Linked DNA regions of Saccharomyces cerevisiae S288C. The protein of the gene in region 1 interacts with the protein of each later gene in a pairwise test. Each region holds a gene or a part of one and is shown in the gene's direction. Other genes may lie near its edges. The genes, in order: MET4 and NDL1.

Evidence for each region.
Region 2: the proteins of MET4 (region 1) and NDL1 interact in a two-hybrid assay, tested with the Saccharomyces cerevisiae proteins (2 studies listed by BioGRID).

The regions. Positions count from the first base shown.
Region 1 is NC_001146.8:426,163-430,552, forward strand, and holds MET4 (Met4p), read left to right. Parts: upstream 1-1,572; coding exon 1,573-3,591; downstream 3,592-4,390. Other genes in the region: 2-isopropylmalate synthase LEU4, read right to left, coding at 1-592; DNA-directed DNA polymerase alpha catalytic subunit POL1, read left to right, coding at 3,925-4,390. UniProt on the Saccharomyces cerevisiae protein: Positive trans-acting factor capable of stimulating the transcription of the MET genes from the methionine biosynthetic pathway. MET4, MET28 and CBF1 are required for full induction of MET25 and MET16 gene transcription.
Region 2 is NC_001144.5:643,742-646,684, reverse strand, and holds NDL1 (Ndl1p), read left to right. Parts: upstream 1-1,711; coding exon 1,712-2,281; downstream 2,282-2,943. Other genes in the region: HAP1 (Hap1p), read right to left, coding at 1-270; YLR255C (uncharacterized protein), read left to right, coding at 732-1,085; CQD2 (Cqd2p), read right to left, coding at 2,349-2,943. UniProt on the Saccharomyces cerevisiae protein: Required for nuclear migration to the bud neck during cell division.

The DNA.
Region 1 (4,390 bases):
CTTGTTGGGAAGGGTCATCCTTAGTTAGTTTCCTAACTAGTTTGGTGGCCTCTACTGCCTTGGAAATAGCTTCCTCTCTAGACATATTAAAAACAATTTCACGGAACATATCACTTGTTGCCAAGTAAGTATGTATAGTAGCCTTTTTAGCACCTGTTAATGCTTCCACCGTTCTCTTAATCAAGTGTTCTCTAGATTGGACAAGACATTGAATACTAACATCGTCTGGGGCGTTTTCTACAGCATATCTAGTGAAGTCGAAATCTGTTTGAGATGCAGAGGGGAAGGAAACCTCGATTTCTTTGAACCCAATATTGACCAGCTTGTGAAAGTATTCTTTCTTTTGTTCCACTGACATGGGATCCGGCAGAGATTGGTTACCATCTCTCAAATCTGTTGATAACCAACGAGGAGCCCTCGTGATCCGGTTATCCGGCCACTTTCTATTAGATAGCTTTGGAGCGTTAAATGGCTTGTACTTGGAGGAAGGGTCCTTAAGCATATTTTTATAGGCTAGCTTCACTGGAGGAATAACTCTTGAGGCTCTGGAGGCCGCATGCTCAGCAAGAGCAATAATACTCTCTTTAACCATGATTGTTCCTTGTCTTTTTGTAAGGAAAAAGTCTACAGTAAACTTCTAGTGTGAGAATCCTTTTTTTTCTTCAAAAAATACCCTTTGAAAGAACTGAGTCACTTACACGTAAGTTTCTTTTTACTGGTCAAGTTGAAAAATAACCAATAAATGATTATGGAAAGAACGTTGAAAGAGGAGAGAGGCTGACCCAAGAGGAGAAAACATCGAACCTACGCGACTCCATAGCGCACATCTCCCATGCGCCCGTGCTTATATATATATAAATATACATACACACATACATGCACGCACATACATGCACGCGCATGACAGTGACTGGCCGTTACTGTACAATTTTTTCAGCCAAGTATGACACACATTCAACTCAGCTTTTCTGAGGCCTTCTTTCTTTTCCTGCGCGTCGGTAGAGCGATGACTAACCTACTACTGTCTCAGAGCCGGTCCCGCTCCGGTAGCAATCCTGGGGCTGGTCATAACAGCCGAGTGGAAGTGTCAAAGCGGAGAACAGAAGCATAAGCTCAATCGCTGGACATACGGATGCTTATATACGTCTTATTGTCGTTGAAAAATATCGAATTTTTTACTTCATTTATCGAGGCTTCTTCGAGCACTTTTCCGCTATGGCTTTTTCCCCGTTTCCTTTTAATCACGTGCGCGGGTAGCACCCGGCACACAGCTGGTGTCTCGTCGCACATGCTATTGTGTGTCATCGGGCCACACAAGCATATTGCTTGAATTTTCTTTCATCGTTCAACTTAAATCCACCCAATCTAGATGTAGCCGTAGCATGTAATAACGTATATCCTTGTTTACATGCATCTGTGCCAGGTGAAACGGTCTGTTTGAACGCACATCATTTCATATATTAGTCAACTCCTGAAGGTCTTCTTGCCTGTCCGTCAACTGTTTAGACAGACTCTCGTCAATAAAGCGCACTTCTGATAAGCACTTTTATTCCTTTTTTTCCACTGTGAACGATGAAGCAGGAGCAGTCCCACGAAGGCGACTCATACAGCACGGAATTCATAAATCTCTTTGGCAAAGATACCGCAACACACCCTAGCAGCAACAACGGTGCTAATAATAATGGCATGGGGAGCACGAACTCGTTGGACCAGTTTGTGGCAACAGCCTCATCGTCATCTTCTCTGGTGACCAGCAGCGAGAATAGGCGCCCCCTAATAGGTGACGTTACCAATAGGGGCAACACTAACCTATATGACCACGCTGTCACGCCAGAAATACTCTTAGAACAGTTGGCCTACGTGGATAACTTCATACCATCTCTGGATAACGAGTTCTCTAATGTGGATTGGAATGTGAATACCACCCATAATAATGCAAACAATAATGGCGCGGACACTTTCAGCAGCATAAATGCAAATCCTTTTGACTTGGATGAACAACTAGCCATTGAGTTGAGTGCGTTTGCCGACGATTCTTTCATCTTCCCAGACGAGGATAAGCCGAGCAATAACAATAACAACAGCAATAATGGTAATGACGACCATAGCAACCACGACGTATTGCATGAGGACCCTTCTACCAATAATAGACAAAGAAATCCTCACTTCTTGACTCAAAGAAGGAATACTTTCCTAACTTCCCAATACGACCAATCAAAGTCTCGATTTTCGTCCAAAAACAAAAGAAATGGCAATAACGGCGAAACAAACAACTTTGGCGACAATATGCAAAATAACCATCCTTTTGAGCCAAACTTTATGGGAAGCCCTTCTCAGTTTCCCGCTGACGCAACTAATATGACATCAATCGACCATGGCGGCTTCACAAATGTTGACATTACATCAACTGAGAACAATACTACCGGTGACAATGGAGTGGATGCGCTATCAAATCTACTACATAGGACAACACACACACCGAACCGCTCCTCCCCCCTAAGCAATGTCACTTCTGCTCAAAATTCCTCTTCACAACAACGAAAACATTCGGAAAGCAAAGTCGATAGTAACAGCGATAATAACAGCTCCAACAAAGCCCCCAATATAACTGTTCCTGACTATTCAATTATACCAACCTCTGTTTTAGTAACTCTATTACCGAGGGTCAACGTGCCCAACGGCGCATATAACTCGTTGATCAGCGCGGGATTTGACAATGATCAAATAGATGCTATAGCCGCAATAATGGCGTATCATCATCAAAAAAAGATTAGGGAAAATAACAGTAATAATAATAAAAACATCAACACCAATGACAGTCAAGAGGCACCCATTCTAAAAAACATCAACGAACTTTTAAGTGTCTTAATACCACCCTCTCCGGCTGAAACTGCTGCGCCAACTACCTTATCAACGTCGCCTTCGTTCAATGAGCACGGTGTAGTAGCAGAGGCTTCTTTTCTAAGCTCCATTTTGGAACTGGGCATAAAGCATCCAAAAAGTAATAATATTCACAATCAACGACAACCTTCACGAAACGATCATAAAATATCAAGAGAGAGTGACGGTAACAATGGAAACGATAATGTCCATCATAATAACGCTGTTATTAAGTCAAGTACGACGCGTGGAGACGAAATTGCCAAGATACGATCCGAGCCAACTTTAAATGCAAGTTCTTCTGATCACAAGGAAAATAGTTTAAAAAGATCACACTCCGGAGATTTGAAAAATAAAAAAGTACCCGTCGACCGCAAGTATTCTGATAATGAAGACGATGAATATGACGATGCAGATTTACACGGCTTTGAAAAGAAGCAACTGATCAAGAAAGAGTTAGGGGACGACGATGAAGATTTATTGATACAGTCGAAAAAATCTCATCAAAAAAAAAAACTAAAGGAAAAGGAGTTAGAATCATCGATACATGAACTGACCGAAATTGCAGCATCCTTACAAAAACGGATACATACGTTAGAAACGGAAAACAAGCTTTTAAAGAATTTAGTTCTGAGTAGCGGTGAAACGGAAGGAATAAAAAAAGCTGAAAGCTTAAAGAAGCAAATTTTTGAGAAGGTTCAGAAAGAATAAAATAACAGACTATACAGTTTAATTATATATATATATATATATACGTGCATTTTTCTTAAAGAAATATAACTTTTTTCTTGTACTGCCTGCAATCTCTATTCTTCATTCATCACACATCTATTCAAACGCGTTAAAATTTTTTTGTTAGCCTATAAGTAAAACGCGTCGCGTGTATCCAATTTTACTGAATTAAATTCTTTACTCATTGGATGATATATATCTTCTTGGTCTAGACAACGAACACATACCAATTCAGACTCACGAGAAAAAAAACTGTCTTCACTCTGCTATTAGAAACCAAATAGTATCAAGGCATAAAATAAACAGTGGAAAATGTCTTCTAAAAGTGAAAAATTAGAAAAATTGAGAAAGCTGCAAGCCGCTCGAAATGGTACATCCATCGATGATTACGAAGGTGACGAATCAGATGGTGACAGAATATACGACGAAATCGACGAAAAAGAATACAGGGCCAGAAAGCGCCAGGAATTGCTGCATGACGATTTTGTTGTAGATGACGATGGTGTAGGCTACGTCGATCGTGGTGTCGAAGAAGATTGGAGGGAAGTTGATAACAGTTCAAGTGATGAAGACACTGGAAACCTTGCTAGCAAGGATTCTAAAAGGAAGAAGAATATAAAAAGGGAGAAAGACCACCAGATTACAGATATGCTGCGAACTCAACATTCCAAATCAACACTGCTAGCACATGCAAAAAAATCCCAAAAAAAAAGTATCCCCATCGATAATTTTGATGACATTCTTGGTGAGTTTGAATCTGGTGAAGTAGAAAAACCCA
Region 2 (2,943 bases), on another chromosome or scaffold:
GGCTACCCCAGTTTTAGTGCACTGCTGGCAGTGTGGTCTGAGTTTGTCACATTTGACTTTCCTTTTCCGACAAATGGTGCAACTGAGCGGAATTCTGTTACGCTTCCTCTTGATCTTGGACGAATCTGAAGACATGTGCAAGGGTGGAGAGTTAGAGCTGGTGTTGGCACCGGGCGTAGTTGCTGTATGCATGTTAGGACTTCTTGAGACCGAAGACTGGGTCATGGATGCAATGGAAGGCACAGATGAATTATAAGGGGTATTCGACATCTAACCTATTGTTCCCTTTTTTTTTTTTTCTTTTTCTTCTATTTCCTTACCTTCTTGCCTGCGACTGGAGAAAAACTAAAAGGCCAAATTGAAAGGGAAGAAAAATTTTCTGCGAAAACAAAACAAGATGCTTTGATAAAAGGAAGTTGATGGAATGAGGTTCGATGAGATGAAATCAGATACAATTTTGTGCAATATCTTCAAACCTTAAAAGAGCACTGCAGGAACCTATTCTTTGGGAGAACAATAGCGTCTGTGTGCTTGCGGTATCTTGAGTTGTGAGTCTCAAATGTGTGCTTTGCATCTCGAAGAATAATAGAAAAAACCGAAAACCGAAAAAAATTGTGCCTCAAGAGTATATCCGATATATATGAACGCGATCGAGTTACCGGGGCCGTTGCTGGTGCCGTTGCCTGGTATTCTAAACGAGGCCGCGAGGGTGGATTTCGCCCGACGGGTGAATGGGTGTGGGTGGAACGAGGATTGTATCGTTTAGACAGCCGAATTATTACCCGGTTACTCAACAAAAAGGGGCAAGCCAGACAGGTGCAGTGGCTCAGCCGTACAGCTCGTACTGTGGTTTGCTAATGCGCTGGGCGGTTGTTGAGATAAGAAGAAGAGGGAAAGGGAAAGGAAGAAAGAGGAAGAGAGAGAGAGAGAAAGGGCACACGAAATTCAGGATACGGCGGAGGAGTTATCTTTATTTTATACGGTCTTGCCTTGTAAGGCCCTACTCAAGCGGGAACAAGAAAAACAGTTGTAGCTTCCACAAGATGTTGGCTATAGAGATTGTTCTGTGCTTAAAGGCTCGCTAATCAATATTTCTTGAAGTACGATTTCTGTGTGTATAGATTCTCCACAATTGTTTTTCTTAGTGAGGCTCCGCCACGATCGCGTCTTGCCATCATCGTCCATCCATGGAAAAGAGCTACAAAAAACGACTGCTGGTGTACATACAATGCTCTGGGTTTCGTACATTTGCTTACTAAGTGACAGAAGCGTTCATCGATCCTTCGAAAAGGGTAACAGCGGAAAAACAGGAAATATTGGCTACATACTATAACTCAACAACGTATCATGAACTATTCCGCATATTCGTAACCTTATTTGTAGCGCAGTAAAGCCGCTAAAGAGGTCTTCTCCTATCGGATCTTGCTTTTTTCTTCCTTTTTTTTTTTTTTTTACAATAGAACAATAAAAAAACTGAACGTTCTCTATATCATCTGTGACGGCAAGTATCAATTATTTTATCAATTAGTTTGCAGAATCGGGAAAATTAATAACATTAGAAATGAAAGTTTTCATACATAAATTTGCAATTAAGGATGAAAAAGAGGGATAATAAGGGCTACAACAAACCACGAACGGCCGAAAGAACAATCCTCGCAAATTTAATTGGAATATCCAAGGGACATATACGTGCAACAATTGCGACTTTCCTATGGTGCCGAATTTGGATTTGGAAACAGCTATACAGATAATCTCCTCACTGGAGACCCAGTTGAGCGAGCTTGAAGGCGCCACGAAAGAATATGAAAATGATTTGGAACAAGTAATATCAAAGTTAAAAAGCGATCTTCTTGAGAGCCAACAACAAAATAAGTGCAATAAGAAACAGATAACAGATTTAGAGATACAGGTAGATGAGTTGGAAAATGAAAATATCCAACTGAGGAATAAGATAGAGACATTACAATTGGAGAGTGACCGACGACTGGAACGCAACGTTCTACTGGAACACGAGTTACTCGACACCAAAGAGGCGCTGCAAAAGTTAAGAGTCAGCAAAGAAGAAGCCACTAGCGGTGAGACTAGAAGGAACACCAGGTCGTTACCCAGTCAAAATAAAAAAATGAAGTTGTTTAAGGATACTATCAAAGTCTCGACCACATCTTCAACCTTGTACTTGCAGAACATGGCAAAAACTAACAACGCTGCAAGAAGTCACTGTAATATTCCAAATACCCAAATAACACAATCCACTGTGATAGCAACAACGTCTTCCGTTTAATGACACATATAAAATTGTTATATATAATTTTACGTATATATTTACAAGTAGAAAGAACGCTAACGATTTAAGATGACAACCAAGTCTTCGGAATAAATTTTTTCCACCACAACACAAAATCATAAAAATACAATTGATTAATACGCCTCTCATAGACTATCCAGTTTGTCAAGTTCTCCCACATCCATTTAATAGACCACCTCGCATACTCCGAATTAATTCTTTCCACTTTTTCGTCGTAGACCGTCTTGGCGCAGTATTGCGTCATGATCAGGAAAGTCCTCTCTGGCCCGAGTGGATTCTGTAGACATTCATCAAGATGTCTGGTTAGGTCGTTAGTCTTCAATATCAAAAGCACTACACGAGGGATTCTAGACAAAATGCTCATCAAGTCGCTCAGTAACGTTCCTTCCAAGATCCCATTTGCCATGACGTCCATTTCTTCTTGTGTTCGACTCGTTGAAATGTCGTAATTCAAAGCAGCATCAATGCTACGGCCCGTAATTGCAGCCGCTAAAAGGGGAAACTGTTCGTCGGTGATGTTTGCGAATCCTTTGGCATACTTCTTCATTTTTGTCTGGTCCTTGTCGAATAGGAGCGACAACCAAAATTTGGCATAAAGTCTTCTTGTTCTCGTGCTAGGATATCTATAGAGTCCGTGG